Linked DNA regions of Bombyx mori. The main gene of each other region encodes a partner of the protein of the gene in region 2 in a complex. Links are inferred from orthologs where the notes say so. Each region holds a gene or a part of one and is shown on either strand. Other genes may lie near its edges. The genes, in order: H/ACA ribonucleoprotein complex subunit 4 and telomerase Cajal body protein 1 homolog.

Evidence for each region.
Region 1: telomerase Cajal body protein 1 homolog (region 2) and H/ACA ribonucleoprotein complex subunit 4 share a complex: the UniProt entries of both Homo sapiens proteins name them as parts of the telomerase holoenzyme complex. The link is inferred for Bombyx mori from reciprocal best matches to the Homo sapiens genes WRAP53 and DKC1.

What each region holds. Positions count from the first base shown.
Region 1 is NC_085130.1:16,022,333-16,031,618, reverse strand, and holds H/ACA ribonucleoprotein complex subunit 4, read right to left. Parts: upstream 7,513-9,286; 5' UTR 7,275-7,512; coding exon 5,869-7,274; intron 4,662-5,868; coding exon 4,535-4,661; 3' UTR 1,276-4,534; downstream 1-1,275. Other genes in the region: DNA-directed RNA polymerases I, II, and III subunit RPABC3, read left to right, coding at 8,370-8,662.
Region 2 is NC_085124.1:10,451,680-10,462,119, reverse strand, and holds the end of telomerase Cajal body protein 1 homolog, read right to left. Parts: 5' UTR 10,407-10,440; coding exon 9,970-10,406; intron 9,353-9,969; coding exon 9,164-9,352; intron 8,816-9,163; coding exon 8,655-8,815; intron 7,181-8,654; coding exon 6,891-7,180; intron 6,670-6,890; coding exon 6,406-6,669; 3' UTR 1,379-6,405; downstream 1-1,378. UniProt on the Homo sapiens protein: RNA chaperone that plays a key role in telomere maintenance and RNA localization to Cajal bodies. Specifically recognizes and binds the Cajal body box (CAB box) present in both small Cajal body RNAs (scaRNAs) and telomerase RNA template component (TERC).

The DNA.
Region 1 (9,286 bases), on a different chromosome or scaffold from region 2:
AGGTAAGGCTCACTTCATAGTGAACTAGAAAGGAAGGTGTGCGGAGTGGGGGACGACTGCTTTTTCTTTTCGACTTTTTTTTGTTTTCGTACGCTACTATCATTAATTTTCCGAAAGCCAACCAACCACCTGTCAGACGAAATGTTTGAAAAAAGAGTCCTATTAAAAGTAATTTAAATTATAAATCAGCAAAATAATGTTGTTTAATTTAATCTGCCAATGATTAATTTAAAAAAAATAACGTAAAATGATAAAAGATTATAAAAAAAAGTATATAAATGTGTTTCATTTTTGCGTTTGTCATAAAAGTTATTAGTAGGACATTTTTTGTAAGGTTACCTAACAAAACATAACAGAATAGTTATGTGATCAATTATCAGTAATTATAAGTAATTTGTTTCAAATACATAAGTAATCTGTTACAGTTAATGTAATTAGGTTAACTTATAATTGAATTACTTTATAACTGATTACAATAAGTACTCGCTGTAATCAGTTACTTAAGTAACCTGTTACAAAGTATCTCAATTACCAATTACAATGTAACTGTAATTTGTAATTATTAATCTGATTACTTTTTGCCCATCACTGTTCAAAATTAATGCCGGCCACTGACATGCGCGCAAATATTCGTACATTGTACGAATGCTTGCGCGCATGTGAAGGGCCGTGAAACATTCATTCGCAAACCTAGCGGCTGTGCAAATGGGTTCGCATACTCAATTTGCGAACCCGTTTGCGCTTCCTCCTACACTTGTTTATGAATGTCTCACGAATTTCTCCTTCTTTTTAATTCGTCAATAGAACATTGAAGAGAAAAAGAGTTTTTAACTATTTACCAGATATCATTAACAGCCATGCTGTTTTTATGGGATTTCTTTTGATGAAGATACGCTACACAGTAGACGTCACGAACTATGAAAATGGCGTATAGTATACGTCCGTCACCTTCGCAATCGTCGGCGCAACTGGGCAAGCGAATGTGTGGGAGGCTACGCGAAGGTTCGAGGTTCGCGCGCTTTGATGTCTGTTAAAAAAACGACACAGCTTGGAAAACCACGAATGCAGCGAAAACTTTGCATAATCATTCGCAAATGTCGTCCTACACTTGTGGGTTTGCGTATTCGTGCGCATGTGAGGGACTGGTGTAATATCCAGATTAGTTGTAAATAGTTAATTTACGGGACACCCTGTATATACCGTCTGTACAGACTGGCGTAGTCATAAACTATCTTTAAAAAATACTTGTCAAATCAAATCCCAGAATAAAACAAATTTTTCCTTAAAAATAGTTTATTTCAATGTCACAAAAATCTTCTTCCATTACGTACTTACAAATATAAACTCAAGATGATATTTTACTTACCATCTGACAAAACTAAATACCTTATTGACTCCAAGAGGTCTCAAACCCTCAAATAATTGGATTTATATTGGATTTAAAATTTATATTTAGACTTTTAGAACTTCACTTGAACTTAAGCTTAAATGCTTTTTTTAATACAACTTCACGGTTTAACCTCTTGTTTTTTATTGTCATTTTAAATTAGGTATTTCCGGGGTTTTTTTCTTCAGTTTTTGTGGTCACAGGCGTTTGAATGAGCCGTAAAGTAATTTTATTTATCTTATCTTTCTTTTCTTTACTACTTCCAAGGTCACGAACGACTGAGTGAGACGCAAAGTCGTAAATACGTTTTATCTTCCACCAGTGTTATGCTGTCTATATAATAATATGTCTCATCTATGGTTAGATTAGTTAGTGTTACATATTCTACGAGGGGTAAGCATTTTCAATCAAAGACTTAAATACGTCAATGACATTTAAAATTCTAATCTAAATTTCACCAGCTCAAAATGATTAAAAAAAAAACTAATTCTAAAACAAAGGAACAATATAATTATATAAAATATAGTGCATTTTATTTTAGTTTTAAGCTTACGACACCTAATTAAAAAATTGTCGGCATGCGAAGCGATCAGAATTTTGCAAAATAGATTTTACACGCAAACCCGCGTATAACCTATAATCTAATTTTATTTTTATAAATCTTAACTAAATACAGTCGCATAGATTTATGTATATAATATATACTTATAAAAACTATTATATCTACCATTGTGCCTTTATTGTTGGGAAAGGCTTATTATTATTGAAAAATAATAAAATATATTTACACCCGTATCATAAATGCAATGTTAAGTTATTTTTTTATTGGGACAAAAACACCACAGACTATCCTATCGCCAAACATGGCCTAGCCATTACGATCTATTGCTTGGCAAATAGACTGAATTTATGGCAACATAAAGGATAGATTATCAAGAAAATGTATTAAATTATCAAAATAATTCAAAAATTGGTTATTAGACATGGACAAGAACTGCATTGAAAGATGCCAGTTTTCCTATTAATTTAAATTGTTTTATCGTTCAATAATTTTCTATATGTATTTTGAGGTTTTTGTTTCTGAATCTAAGTTTAAGCACTAAAAAATACAAAAGAGTTGTTAGGGACTTTTATTTTGAAAAAAAAAAACATCATTCCTCATTATTCATTCGTACCACTTATGAACTAATCTTATAAACTATCTTAACAATGTACAATGTTTTAATAAACGACGACAAATTACAAAATTTTAACTTTAGCAATTTGAGCATTGAGTTCTGCAATTTTATGGATTGGAGTTTTAGAACGGAAATGACTAACCTTTTTTTTTGAGGCAAATGATTTCAGCTCGGTTAAAAGAGAGTCTGGAGCAGTTGGGAGTTATTATTATACATGCATACTCTATTTATGTAATGCATATTCATATAAAAAAAATCACAAAAGATTTTGTCGAGTTGTGTGTGGCTAGAACACGCATAGGATTATCAAATTGGATCTGTAACACAACAATAGTGTCAAAGATTACTAACTACTCAATTAAATGTGGATTAGAATATATGAGTCGACTATTATCAAAGCCGGCAATCTGACTTTTGGACAATGATTGGTAAATCAGAAAAACGAATTATTGACTTTGTATTCCATTGGCAGTCACAAAACTCTTCGGAACGACATCTTAGATAATAATAGGTTAACTATTAACCTTTATTTAATGCAGGTTTTGAACCGTATTCTTTGAAGGAGACGATTATATTCAAATCAATCTGTATTGACATATCAATAAAAAATTTTTGTCCAAATGATTGCCACCTTTGATAATAGACGACTCATATATTCTTTGACAATGTTTAAGACTCTCTTTGACACAATAGATTAGACATATAAAAGGGTGCGTGTACTTATGTACGCGCGTAAGAAGATTTACTTTATTTTTATTAAATTTATTTTTTTTTTTTTATTTAAATTTTAATCAATTTGAAAAAAATCGATTAAACAACATCCTCAAACACGCATATTTGACATCCCTTTTCTTGACATCGTATAAATTCGGTAATTCTCGGTACGGTTCGGAAAGTTCACCTGCGGCTATATTCAGACTCGCCAAGTTACGTCGGTTGTATTGTAATGAGCGATTTAGTGGACAACTTCATTCTGTTAATTTTGTGTCACGGTGCGCGCGCATCGTAAAATTTCACTCTCATCAATTTTTCATAACGCGCCTTAAAAAGTATAACTTCAAAAAACAGTATTTTTTAAGTAGTTTACGTGCTAAATCACAATGTAACATATTGCTAAAGTTAAAATATTGTAAACGCCATAGACATTTGTCCATTCCAAACGGAACTACATCAAAATTTGAATTTACTTATATTTTTTACGCTTAAAAGAGAACCATTCTCAATTAATACCATGTCCATTTCTTATGACATATTTATGGGTACATGTTACTTCGTAATTACACTTAATATTCTTAGTGTGTAAAGAAACTATTTCAGTAAAATAAAACATAAAGTTTAGTTTGATTTGAAGTTAATATTCAAAATTAAAATTACTATTATTGAAGTTTCTTGACAACACACAATGTAACCAAATTGTCAGAATCAGCTGAGAGACAAGGTCAAGGCCCTCGTGAAAAGCAGCCATATTGAAATTTAATTAAATTTGAAGGTAATCAGTATTTTTCCTAGTTGCCTAAACTTGCCTTGTTATTAAATGTTCACTTTAGATACTTTTTGAATAATCCAGTTTTGTGTTTAGTTTTCAAAATTTTTCCAATAAAGGGTACCATTTTACCAATAAATTTGATATACTTAACATAGCAGTTTTGTTTTTAAATTTCCATACATATTATTGATAAGAGATGGTGGGAATTTTTTTTCTCTAATTACAAATTAGATTAATTACATTTAATTTTGTGAAAATACCTTCTGCTACGAATATAATACTTATTTCATTAATCTTGTTTCTGTTAATTCAATATGAAATCTCCAACTTTTTACATTTATATATCCGATTATTGTATCACTGATAAATGTATGTCGAATTCAAAAAACGCAATTTCTTAATATAAGCTGTACAATGTTGTCTTTCAAATCTAAACGTAACTCAGTTTAAAATCTACAAACTGTTTGTTTTGCAACATCAAATTCATTCATCAACCTCTTGTTTATCTTTCTTCTTTTTCTTTTTCTTCTCTTTGCGCACAGAATCATCTGCTGGTTGTTCTGCTGTCTCTGGTGACTCCGATGTGTCCATAGTGGCGTCTGCTTCGGCACTGGAATTATGAAGAAATTGAATAGATTGTGTAGAAATGTGTATAAATAAAGCACAATAAGCTAGGGCTTTGTAATCGTACAAACAAGTATATTTGTTCTGCATATGACTAGAAGGGAAAGCTTGAGGACAGACAGAAATAGTTTTTAATGAATTTTCCAGCACCCACATATGCAATAAAAGAAAAAGTTCATCCAGATCTTATAGCATATTTCGTTTATCACTTGTAGCATATAGAAATGTAATTTTGGAATATTTTTGAGAGGCATTAGCTCCAATGTGTATTAGTAAGGTTTAAAATATATATCGTCTTTTCGCATTAGAAGTGTACAATTTCCAAAAATATTCGAAATTGAGTTAATTACGGAATCATTCGGTATCACCAGTATTTTTCTCATAAATACTGTCAAAAGAGCATAGTTTCGTTTTTTTTCTTTAGTTTACCTATATTTTGACTACTATTATCAAAATTAATACATAATTTTATCTTACTTTAAAAGACAGATAATGTAACATTTTTTCTGCAAAGATGATTAATATTAAAAATAGCACATGTCTAACACTCTCCTGTAAAATTAGTAAGTTTTGAGATTATACAGTTTTAATGCGAGAAGATGAATCATGTGAATGTGAACATTGTGTTGTTTTTTTGTAATCTTAATTTTATAAATTTCTTTTTTCATTGTTCTTTCTACAATCATATCTGATGTTGACAGTGGACACTGTGTGGAGTTTGTTTGTTTGCCTATTTGTAACATATTGTTTGTTTTGGACTGTTTCCCAAATAAATAAACACATAAAAATAAAGCATAGTACTGCCACAGTAATTCTCACTATCCAGACATCATTTATTATAATTTGCGTAATTACTGGTAGTAGGACCTCTTGTAAGTCTGCACAGATAGGTACCAGCACCCTGCCTATTTCTGCCGTGAAGCAGTAATGCATTTCGGTTTGAGAGGCAGGGCAGCCGTTGTATATTGAGACCTTAGAACTTATATCTCAAGGTGGATGGCGCATTTACGTTGTGGATGTCTATGGGCTCCAGTAACCACTTAACACCAGGTGGGCTGTGAGCTCGGCCAACCATATCTAAGCAATAAAAAAAAAATTCTCACTTAGTTTGTAATAACAAATCCTTGAAACCAGACACGATAATTGTCTGAATTCCACTACAAATAATCAAAATGCAAAGAACCAGTACTTACGGGGCTTCACTATCTCTCTTTTTCTTCTTCTTCTTCTTTTCCTGCTTCACCTCTATGGAGACATCGGGATCTTCTGCGTTAGCTGTGCTTGCCGTTCGCTTTCTGCTGCCTTCCTCGACACCGTCACCATTCTCCGGTTCTTTCTTAACATTATAGTTGACGTAACTGTTTAACCATTCTTTTGGTGTGTTCTCATTTGGTTTGCCATATTTGTCAAGTTTCCCTTGTTGTATGAGGATTTTTTTCTGTGAGGCTTTCGGTCCGAGACCCCATTTTCTGGGGTACGTGTCTCGTTCCATTATGACACGCTTGAGTTTCGCGGCTACACCATGATCGCATGAGGCCATCGTAGACGTGGTCATCAGAGCAACGGCCAACGCTACTGCCTCACCTTTAGTGGTGACTATTACGATTTCTTGGTCAACTTCGATGCCGTCTTCGTATCTTAAAATACCTGGTAACAGCACTTTGGCTCCGTAGCAAACAGCATTAACAGCGCTGTCTTTGATAAATATCCTTTTGTGAGCAATCAGGAGGCCTTCCAGAGGTTTGATTACTCGACGAAGATAAGTCTCGTCTTTGTGGTTTTCATACGACCATTGTGCATCTAGGATGTCGTGCATCGTGACCATGCCTTCCTTCTCGCCCTGAATGCCGGACCGTACTCGTCTGAGTTCGATCATCTGACCTCCGACGCCAAGCATCAGACCTAAATGCACACACATCGTCCGGATATACGATCCAGCCTCGCAACTAACCCAGAACACCCCAATATTCTTGTCCTGGTCGAAATCCAGGAGTTTACTGTCGTACACCGTCCTGACACGCAGTTGTCGCTTCACGGCCGATATAAGCGGGGGCCTCTGGAATAGAGCTCCACGCAGCTTCTCCAAGCCCTGTGTGACTTTTTGAATATTCTCTACGGCTGAATGCAAGTTGAAAACGGCTACATACTCTTTGCCAGCGTTCTGTTGTGATTTGACGAGTCTCGTGGCGCGGTCTATGCAAACGATAAGGCAACCCGTAACTTTCGGATCGAGCGTGCCCGAATGACCAGTCTTTTCGACTTTTAAAATACGTTTTATCCATGAAACTACTTCGTGGGAGCTGGGGTTGCTCGGTTTGTCGACGTTGATGAAGCCAGATTTGACGTAATCAGAGATGGGGCGTTTTAAAGGCGAGTTGCCGAATGGTAGCGGCGTGTAATGGTTAGTGCGCACATTTAAGCGATCGAAGTTTTTCAACAACAAAGGCCAGTAAGCGGTGTCCAGCTTCTTCACGCTCTCCGAAGGTTCGATTTTGAAGTCGCCAATTGTCTGAAAAGCTCCCAACGAAACACCATCCTTGTTTTTTTTCTTTTTCTTCTCTGAAAGTGTGTCGTTACCGGGCTGCAGTACCTCCGTCATTTTGATGAATTAACACGTATCTTTTCTTACTCTTAATTTTAGGCGATCGACGCAATCACTTGGGTAAACAATGCCCTATAATCGGGCACTGTTTATTGAAAGAACTTTGAAAATATAACACAATGCTCGGCCATATAGCACGTGCGATTCGGTTGAGGTTAGCTTCAGATTTGTTTGCGTATGATTATGGTCAGATGGCGCCAACGTGCAAAGCTCGTTGTGCCAACATTAAAACAGAAAATAATTCGGATACTTGTTAATTTTTTTAACCTTAAAGCAGAACATAAACATGTAATATTTTTATTGGACTGAAGTTTTATACTTTTTCGTTTATTATTGATAATTTTAATAATATTTTGTTAGTTTTTGACACTTAAAAACAAAAACGATTTCCAAAAAATGCCACGAAATATCGTAGTCACTACTTACACTAAAAATATTAAAGAGAAAATGGAACTTAAACGTAGACCGAAATATACATTTATTCAACTCCTAAATTTCGTACATTGTCTTGGCCTATTTATCATTAGATAGGCAAAGAGAACTAAAACTATGCCGCCGAATTTTTGTAACAAAAAACTATATTATTATCGACAAGGAACGTACAATGGAATAATTTAAAGACAGAACCCAATCCCCTCAAAATCTTAACCGTCCAACAGAAATCCATCAATTTCATAGTTGGGAATTTGCTTAAAGTCCAACAGAGATTATGGTAGACCCAAAAAAATAAAAACTATTTAACATCTTGTCCTTCCACCAAATCCTTATCAACTTCTTTCACTCTCACTTTAAATAGGAACTAACTAGTAAAAACAAATCTAAGTAGTCCAAATATATAATATAGGTAAAATGGGATTCTTTTTTTCAGTGTGAGATATTCCGTCAAAGTATCCAAATATTCAGTACCTATACTTCAAAAAAAAGTCACACTTGACATTGACATTTATTATCAATGTTTTTTTTACATAGACCTATATAGTATTTTTAGTGCCGTAAAATTTCAAACAGCAACAGAGTCAGCGTGCTTCTTTCTCATACTGTCCGTTGTTGATATTGTTTTAGTAAAATAAATTCACAGGATAAAACTTGATCATGGCGGGCGTGCTATTCGAGGACATTTTCAACGTCAAAGACATGGATCCGGAGGGCAAAAAGTTCGACAGAGTCAGCCGATTGCATTGCGAATCGGAGTCATTCAAAATGGATTTAATATTGGACATTAATTCTTGGATATATCCAATGCAACTAGGCGAAAAGTTTCGTCTAGTTTTGGCCACGACGTTGAGGGAAAACGGATACCCTGACGGCGGAGAATGGAACCCTCTGGAAACCGAAGGAAATCGAGCAGATAGTTTCGAATATGTCATGTCCGGAAAAGTATACAGGTTAGTTCTAACATAAAGGTGTTGTAGCGGCAGGTATCGTACAACAGAAGATATTTTACAGATGCAGTTAGCAATTATACAATTTCCTAACGATCATATTCGGAACGTCGAACTACCGAGCAAAATCATGTCCTCAGTGGAAATCTTTCCTTATAATGAAGCTACCTGTCACATTAGCTCCTCAATTTGATGTTGAAGTGGATGAGAGCCGAAAACGGCTCAGTGGTGTGGATTGGGAGACGCCCATGCCCAGCAGGGGACGCCTTGGGCTAATGATGATGGTGATGGTGATGATGATGAACACTTGTAATATCTATGTGGTTATAAAGTCTATATAAACCAATTTAACAGTATTATGAGTTTTGTACATAGGCAGAGTGGCACCTTCCTACAATATGAGGTACCACCACCACCTGGAATCAAATAAATCATAAATTTTGTGGGTTTCGTCATCATCGTCAGCCCACAAACGTCAGAACACAGACCTTTCCCATGACTCACCTCAATGGCTGGTCCTGTGGAGCCTGCATCCAGCAGATTCCTGTGACCTTTAGCAGGATATCAGAAAACCGAACAGAGCTGCCCACTCTCCCGGTGTACTATGGCCATTTGTGATCAATTTAA
Region 2 (10,440 bases):
CGAATGTTCTCACAACATGTATAGAGAGTGCCTCACAAAGGGCATATCAATCGGATAATGGTAGATAGTGTTCTATATTTAATCAATTCAATATCCCTGTGATATCGCTTTCATTCAGCCCTCGAGGTTACGTAATTAGGTACTTGAAAGACTTTTATCTCACCAAGATTTATGTTCGTAAATTAATTCAAGGTATAAAAGAGTAAAAATTAATGTAAAAATACCAAAACTGCTACAGATCTAAACGTATCCGTGACCTGGCCCCCTAAGAGCTAGGGGTCCCACCCGTTTTGTGCGGGGAGAGACCCAGACGTGGGGTGGCGTGCTTTGCACGCTCACCCGCAGTAGGAAGCCGGGTGATGGTAGACCGCGTTCCCCCGACCACTCTGGGGGAAGGTGTAAAGCGGCGCCATCAAAGCGGACTCTCGGCCCGCTGAACGAGGGAACCGGTGGTCGTGTCGCTGGCGGCCGCCGGTCCGGCGTCCGTGGGACGGTGGGATGGATGTAATGTGCTCTGCGTCAACCCTGTCCCGCCGTTTCAATAGCCCCGACTGGGCTCCGGCCCGGTCCGAGGTAGGGCGCCGGTTGTGAGCGGCAGGAGTTTTTAGTGAGGTTCAACTCCCACATACCACCTGCCGCGCGGGTGGGGATCCGGCGATTTTCTCTTGTAGAAACAGGTCTAAACGGGCGGTTTCTCTGAATTCAAAAATCACGTTATGTCAGCTGATTAATATACACACACATAAACACTTCACCGGCTTTTTTTTATTCGCTGGCAACGGTAGCCTATGAGTATTCCAGCTATGACCAGAAGGGGCTTCGCCTGTGCCTCTAACCGCTCCGACTGTTTCGGCACATCAAATAACTTCTTTGTCTTTGCAATGAAAATGAAATTTAGTAATATGTAATGGCCGTAATGCGTTTGGAATTTTGGTTTGCGATTTTGAACCTTAAGCGTCTAGTCATATGATAGCATTTTTTGTCGTTTTCATTGATTAAAATCAATTGAACGAATCTGCTGTTATCTATCTATTTCTAACGCGTTTAACCAAATTAACGGATTAATGGCATTTTTGTTGTACAATTCCAGGGTTATCATCAACCAGTTGAAACAATTAAAATATTAGTTTTTGTATGAAACTAAGTACGGCTTAGACGTTTTTAACGTGATCTGCATTTTTGAAACTATAGTTCGATTTCGGCTTGACATACCCATTATACATCCTCGACACCCTGAGGTACCTAAAAGCACCGATAGTGGATCAGGAGGATCCTAAATGGCGTGTTTTGGGCGACTGCGACTTTTTACCATTCAGTCCACAGGACCAGGTAGGTATGTATTCGGAAATTGAATCATTGTTGAAAGGAAAATCTCACGTTCACAATATCAAATATTTATTCAGAGATCACATTAATACAACTACAATGACTAGAATTACACTTCGCATTAACATACATACGTAGTTTCTAAGGATATTTATATAAAAGAACTATATTATTAAATTGGTAAACTTAAAATACAGTCTATTAAAATCACTTATATATGACTTCTATGTAAATATAATATTATAGGATTCGTAGTTTAATTAGAAACCATAATCGAACTTTACCCAAAACAGGGTAAAAGATTTGCCAAAATCACGTGGATTGCTTTGAATTTACGATTTAAAATCATGTATTAAGTATATCCGCCCTACTACCGCCGTGTACTAATTATATCAACTTTGAAAAAACATTACATTTTGTGATCAAATTTTCACGCACGAAATATAAATCAACCTGAACGAACCCATACTATGACTATCGTGTGCTATTTGCAGTTGTTACTGTCTATTATTTCCACATTACACTCCCCAGAGTCCTCAGCGGAGAGCAGCGGCTTAGCTGTAACCCTGGCATTGCTGGTGAGTGACGCCGACCACTCCCTATCAAGTAATTGTCCCCTTTTCGTTCTAAGGCAATGAAAACCCCAAACTTATGGCCCTCGTGGCCTAGGCAACGCGCCAATTATGTTAACAGAATAAATGATCCGTCGCAGTCCACAAACAATAATCCACAAAGAAGTGACGTTTGTCGGTCGGCTAGATAATAAAGGGCAGGAAACAAAATTGCAAATTTCTCTCGTGTAAGCCAGATTAATGCCGACTGGGATTACCCTCGCAGCCGCTGACTTGTAAAAAGTGTCATTCGTTTTTTTGTCACTTTCGGATCCCAGTCAGTCCTACTTTTTTCTTAGATTTTTTGGTATTTCAATGCTACTGAATTTTTCGTACTTCTTCAGTCTCAGTTCTATTTCTGTCAGTCCATTATACAACTATTATACCTATGTTCGAATATAACATGAACTTATTCACAATAGACACCCGTGAAAATATTTTAAGATCGACGAAGATTACTTAATTTTGTATGTGTCATGTGTTAAGCAAATACCTACCAAATCCCGCAGTAACTGCAGTACGAATCCCATGACCCACCTTGAACTCAAAGTGTCAAATCTTCATACGTGCCAACGGTCAAACATTGTCTACGCGAGGTAGATATTTTTGGGACACTTAAATAGAAGAAAAATATAAGTTTGCGAGATCCCATACCCGTATTTTTAACCATACCCGGGAAAGGCTTAAGAGAACCTATATTGTAGAAAATTTTAAATCAAAAGACAAAAAGTCACCTTTCAATATTCTTTGAAATTCGTGAACGCATATCACATACGTGCCCTTGTTTTATTGCACATTAGGTTCTTAATTGTTAAGCACCGTCTGGAATAAATGTAAATAGACATGCTAATTAATTGTAAATAGACATAACAAAACCCAACATCAAATAGAAAAAAAAAGATATTCCAAAAAAATATATACACTAAAAACCAATAATCATCGAAATCGGTTGACGTGATATTGAGTTATGCATCTACCACCATTATCAGAACTGGACTAAATTGAAATGTGACCACACGGGAAGCGTCAGCTTTCTAATAAAAAAAGAGTGATCAAAATCGATTCACTCAGTCAAAATTTATGAGGTATCTAACAAAAAAAAACGTCGAATTGAGAACATCCTCCTTTTTTGAAATCGATTAAAAAAGATATCGTTTTACTATACGCGATAAGAATAAAAAGCTACCAGAAAAATTTAGATATAGTAGGCATATCATACCTACATAGTTAAATAAATAGTTTTTAATGAAAAGCTTTTAATTTACCATAATTAACACTTTAGTAAATGCTTGAATTTTCCTATCAAATAGTCACTTCCTCGATTCCGAATTCAAACCAATTTCAATTAAAATATAGTCAAGTAACGCAGTTGTACGACATCTTCAATTAACGTGCGAATAATTAGTAGTTCTTTCGGTATTCGTGGTCACAAAACCGGAATGGCAATAATAAGGTTTCGTTAACATTCAATATTTGTTTTTTATTTAAACACGCAAGCTTATATCAATACGTAAGCACATAGTTATAATTTAATTCTCAGAGCGTTTTTTTTTTTTTTGGTTCGTTAGGAAATCCTTAGGCTTCTAACTAGACGATAGGTTGGCAGTCTCGGAGTTGAACCAACTAAAAGCCCCTATCGCTCAACGAGCCTTGTCCAAACCTCGACTGACACAGAACTCAATCGAAACAGACCCCTCGTCTGTTTCGATTGAGGTTTCGCGCATTTTTCCTCTCTCCCTAACTTTGGTATAATCTCAACAAACAAACAAAAATCGTAGTCACCCAGGATGCCGTGATCTGAAGTTTACATGATTTTTTGTAAACCATCAACTTCTTCTTCTTCTTTTTCTCCACCTTATCCCACTAGGTGGGGTCGGCACAGCGAATTTTTCTATTCCATTCTCTTCTCTCAGCCGTCATCTTGACACTCCCTCCTCTCTGTCTCTCATATCGTCATTCACATACTCCATCCATGTCTTCTTCGGTCGACCTCTTCCCCCTCTACCTTGCATTGCTATTTCCATACATCTCCTAGTCACATGCATCATCTCTCTACTAGCTTCTATTTTTCTAGGCCATCAACGGCCTCCGGATATCGTCCTCTCCTGTATTATACATGTAAAAAATATATGTGCAAAAAATGCCTAATAAATTTTACAAAGATAGATTCCGATCGGGAATCAAACCTGAATTCTGTAGTACAGTCGCCAGGGTCACTAATCACTAAGCCTACCGGGCCATCAAATTTCATCAAGCATGTCGACGAGGATCTTGTAATCGTCGACACTTTCATGTAATATTTAATATCACGTGAAAAATACATATTTAATACTATCCTATATAATATCATTATTACATATATATAGACGAAGACCTGAAAAAGAGGTTGCAAATAGATAAGCTTTCAAACAAACAAAACGTTTAAATATTTGAGTAATATATCGTATTAGTTACGTTTCGATTGAACCCAACAATCCGAAACTGATTGAACGCGTATAAGGCAATCGTCATAAAACATTTTAATAAAGATTTACGGACGCCAAAGGTCTCGGCGTGGCAATAAAACTGAGCCGCTTTACAAGGATCTGAGGACTACAGTCAGCAAATCGATCGAGTTATCATATTCCATGGATGACGTCGACAAAACTTTACAAAGAGAACTGATATTTTATTTATGTCTAAGTACGTATTATGAAATAAAATCCTTTACAAAGAGAACTGATAATATGTTATTTATGTCTACGTATTATTAAATAAAATCATAAAGATAATTTTTATTTTTAGTCTATGCACCTTTTTTTGGACAACTTAGTCGTTTCCCCAATGAGTGAACGAATTGGCCTTAGATAATTTTGATAAGCATATACTATCTTTGAAGTGTTTTGTTACGATCAGTTGGCAAATAAAAAGAATAAACTTTTAAAGATCACATTAAGTCGCGGCTATGTGCCAGCAAAAAACAATTACTTTTAAATTCATTACACGTTTTTTGTCGTCACTCCCCTCTTTCTTCCTTAACATTAGTGATAACAGTACTTATATGTATAGAAAAGTACAATAGATTAAAATTGGCACTCAATTTTCACGAACATTCCGTTCCTAAGCCCTTTTTTTTAGAAAAATGGGATAATAATTCTAAGTCAGTCGAACATTTATCAATACAAAATTCTATTTTTGAAGGAATGTTTAAGTATTTTTGCCCGAAAACGGAATACCGTGGGCTTAAATTAAATTTATGCAATTCGCAATTGTGACTCAAAAGTCAAAATTTAAAATTCAGTCCGATCATTTCACTCTCAACACATTTTTCCATCTATCAATGGAAGCGAATCATTCCCGAAATCAATTTCGTCTCCCGATTTTCGCTAATGATTTGCATAGCACCTTTGTTGCAGCTTCGAGGGTAGTTACATTTTACACCGCGTATAACTTACCAAACATTTTTATCAAAATCTGCTCGAATATTTATCATTACAAGATCTAAAAGTTATTAAATTTTACCCTTTAATCCAAAACGTGTTTTGCGGTTGAGATAGGCCAATAGATTGCCAATTTTTCGCACATTTCTAAGCGGACTTTATGCAAGGGCTAGTCTCAATTTATAAGTATTTACATACATATATCATAACTAAACAAAATTTTGGTAGTTGTGATTTAAAAAATAAACGTTTGCGCAAATTTTCATAATCGTCTTTGCTTTCGACAATGACATGTTATCGATCTACTTGTTACTGCCGGAAACCGAATTAGCCTTGGGAAAAGTCCACTATTCGATTGTTTGATACTGTTAAGTAACGAACTAACGTGTTTATCAACATAAAATTATTGTATGTAGGTCATAAACGGAATGTTTTATTTTATTTTTATTGCTCAAATGGGTGGACGAGCTCACAGCACACCTTGTGTTAAGTGGTTACTGGATCCCATAGACATCTACAACGTAAATGCGCCACCCACCTTGAGATATAAGTTCTAAGGTCTCAGTATAGTTACGGCTGCCCCACCCTTCAAACCGAAACTGATTACCGCTTCACGGCAGAAATAGGCAGGGTGGTGGTACCTACCCGTGCGGACTCACAAGAGGTCCTATCACCAGTAAAATGTTAAATGATAATAAGTAGACCGGGAACCCCAAACTTCGTTATTTTCAACTTTATAGTTGAAAACCTTTCACTTTAACTATACTTGTAAATAGGGGGTATTTAAATAGGGTAGACAATATAAAAAATATTCTTCATATCTACATATCAGACTACTCGATAAATACTATTGAACCAAAAAAAATCACAAAGATTTTTGACACTTTCAGTTTGATTGCCAGCCAACATAAGAAAAGAGAAGGCTTGAAGGTCAGAGTCAACATAAGTCATGTAAATTTTTTTAAAGTGGAAACTCATCTATCACATTCATTTTTTCACACAACATCAACTACAAATGTATAAATTGAAATACATAAAGATTCATCTGCTTAAACACAACGACGTAGGTTTTTATTTAATTCTATAACATCCCCAGTCCACCAGAACGTCAAACAATTTTCACTGTGACTAGAGTATCGTATATCATACTGGTTAATAGAATCATCAGAACTAGAATCTACGGCTTCATTATTCGTTTTCTCACTCAAAGATTTTATCGGGTCTGTGAAATGATATTGACCAGATCCGGTAGCCAATATGGGTCTATATGGATGAATTGATATGCTATTGCAGCAATCTTTGTATAAAGGAAACTGAAAATGAAAAAGTCAAGTCAAAAATAGAGTTTAAGCCGTCAAATTAATTACCATGTAAGCAATATATTCATTAAATAGTAAAATAGAATCTCATCCAGTAGCTGTACAATTGTGATGTCATGCAGGCTTCAAAATTAAACTATTTATTCAATTACTCTTTTTCAATAAAAGCTTTTAAAATAAAGCACACAAGCTATTAATATAATTAAAAATAATACCTTATAAGTAACATCATCAGTTGTATTATTAACTGGATCTAAACTAGAATGCCAATCTATATGATCAAGTGACCAAACTTTTACCACTCCATCTGTACCACCCGATACCAAATATTTTCCACAAGGTGATATATCAAAATAAATTCGTTGGTTCGTATTTACAACTCTACTCAGAATGTTTAGTGGTTTCCTATAATACCGTATGTCCCAAACAAACAGTCTGTGATCTTTTCTTGCACCAGAAACAAGCTTCAAAGTACCAGGAATGAATTTCATGTGCGTTACTCCACCTGAAGCAATAGAAAAAATCAAAACATTTCGCAAAGCCAAATGAATATTCATGAATATGCTAAATGATTATGAATGCACTTAAAGGATTTAAGGTTTCTGATAAAAATATATACTTGTTGTGCTATATATTATTATATAACTTAGTCTGGCCATAAATACTGTTACATAAAAACTTTTCTTTTTTTTCAACTTTTTAATTATTTTGTATTTGGAACATGTATATTATTTTAAAAACTTCTTTCGATTTTGCGCCATTTCAGATATTTTTTCGTGTTCATTATCAAATGACAAAGGAATGTGGTGTTAAGGAAAATAGGATTGCAGTGATCGCCTTGCGCAAAGTGGGTATTGAGCCGTCGGTCATATTCCAGACACTTCAAATGCTAGGTATCAGCCATTATGTTGGTACATCGAACTATCAACAGATAAAACAACACTTCGTCTGTCGAAGACCAGAAAAGATCGGTGCAGCCGCGTCCTGTTACAACTACAAAGGCTTAATGCTGTTAAAGCCAGAATCCGTCGAATTAGGCAGCAAAATATCTTATAGCGAGAAATGAAGATTCCCGATAGGACTCTGTCGCGTATTATAAAACAAGACCTGAAGCTCGCAGGATATACCCTAAATCAATCTTTATAATTAAAGTGATTGGATAAATGAAAATGCCTTTTGATGCGATATGCAGGTGAAAGGCACAGAAATATTCTCTTTACTGATGAAAAAAATTTCACTATTGAAGAACACTGCAATAAACAAAATGATAAAGTGTACACTCACAGTTCTAAAGAAGCTGCTGAAATGGTAGGAAAGGTACAAAGTGGTCATCATCCTGCATCAGTGATGGTTTGGTGGGGCGTGTCTTATCAAGGAATCACAAGCTATATTTTTGTGAAAAAGAAAGTGAAAACTTCAGTCAATGTGTATCATTGTCCATGTATCCATGTCTTGGATTATGCTGTAAAACCTCTCAGCAATACACTTTTTAAAAATATACTGTGGACTGGCCCGCATGTCTCTGCACCTGGTCACAAGGCAGGAACTACCCAAGCCTGGCTTGAAACCAATGTTCCAGACTTTGTAAGAGCTGAAGTCCAGCCTCACCGAGCCCAGACCTCAACCATTAGACTTGAAATTATGGTCAGTTTTAGAGAACATGGCCTGCTCTAAGCGATACAGCGACATTGAGTCTTAAAAAACCTTTGGAGCAAGCAGTGAAATTTCCCTTGGAAACAGTGCGCAAATTCATAGTTTCATGGCCAAACAGATTAAAGGCCTGTATAAAAGCCAAAGGTGGCCATTTCAAGTAGAATATTTTTCTTTATTTTTTGCTGACTTCATTTCTTTTTACTTCATTAAAAAAAAAACATTTTCATTTGAAACAGAACTTATGGCTGGATTAGGTATATATAGGTATTGGGTATATATATAACAATATGTAACAAACGTTACACCAATTATTCAGTGCTATTTACCTCCATGTCCATACATGTCCCCAATTTTCTTAGTACCAATTTCTGATTCATTATACAAAGTTATTGTTGTATTCCAAGAACCAACAGCAACTAAGTTATTTTGTGTTGAAATGCTAGATGCTGAACTAGAAATCTTTTGCTCAGTAAATTCTCTGCCAGGCCTAAAAAATTTACTGATTAATATACAAGCAAATAAAATAGACCTAGAACTCAGGCAGGATTGCAACAATTATGTTGTTGAAGTCTATGAGCTCTAGTAATCACTTAAAACCTAGTTGTATACCAATCAAAGAAATAAAAAAATTGTCTATCTTGAGCACATTACTAACTTAATGAGTATATTAAAAGATTTTACTTCCATACAACAAATTCTCTTTATATTAGTATAGATACGATAAAAGCTTCCTGCCTTGATATAAAGTAGTTATTAGCAAGTCTAAGCTTTGCTTAAATACCCACACTGAGCATGAAATTAAAGTTTTAAGATAAATTTGATAATGAAGAATTACCGCTCAACATCAAAAATTCTTAAATGCTTCTTATAGCCAGCAATGATTTTTCTACCATCTGAGGTAAAGCTAACTGATAAAGCTGGTTCCATTTCATCTACTGCATTGAATCCTCTGTATGAACATCTGAGTGATCCATCAAATGCATCCCACATTTGTATGGGAGAATTTTGTTTTGTTGTTAACCAGCTGTCAATAAAATTATTGAGTTACATGAAAGTTAGGCATTTCTTAAGAAATCTATTTCAGCTCCTTATTTTAAAGGAAGAGAAATTATGTTTACTGACAAACTAAAATTGATATTTTATCATAATCTCAGCCTGTCCACTGCTGAACATAGGCCTCTCCTACTGATGTCCACTATGTCATCAGCCCATCTGGTACACGGCACACTGCACTTGACAGTACGTGGTCTCCATTTAAGGATTTTTCTGCCCCATCGGCTGTCAATCTTCGTACTATATGGCATTCCCACTGCCGCTTCAGCTTGCTAATCCTAGGGCTATGTAACAAGTTTGGCTCTTCTATGGATCTCCTCATTTCTGATTCGATCTCATAAAGAAATACCAAACATAGCCCTCTCTATAGGTTGCTGTGTGACACTAAGCTTCTTAAAAAGTTCCCTTGTGAAACACCATATCTCAGAACCGTACGTCATCACTGGTAAAACACATTGGTTGTACACCTTTGTCATAAGGCACTGAGCATTTTTTTAATTTTTAGATTGGTTGATATTTAAGTAACGATATTTTATATTTACATCAATTCCATTGTAGACCAAATATTGAGTTTTAAATCTCACTCACCAACAGGAAGGGGGATTTGTGCTGTTCATGAATGGGTACCAACAGAAGTCGTAAACTGAACCTGTTTCTTTTAAATGTATCACTGATTCTAAGACATCGATTATACGATCGCCACAAACAACGCCCTGGTACAATTCACTAGGAAGCTCGGTAACATGAACACCATCGTTATTGACAACACTTAAGCAACAGGTTCCATCTGGGGACCACTTACATCCACGTAAATAAGGCTGTATATTCTCATTAGCATTACGACCCCTTGACCACGAGCAAGTGGACAATTCAAGAAAGCTTTTGCTTGTAAATAATGCTGGATATTGAAAAGCGTTTTCTGTACACGCCGAACCCAATGTAAGTTCACTCGGATTTTGAGTTATGGTTTGAGGTATATTTTCAGCGTTTATTCTTGATGGTGTCTCCATTGACCAATTTTCCATAATAAAGGTAGATCACAACACAATTTGTGATTAT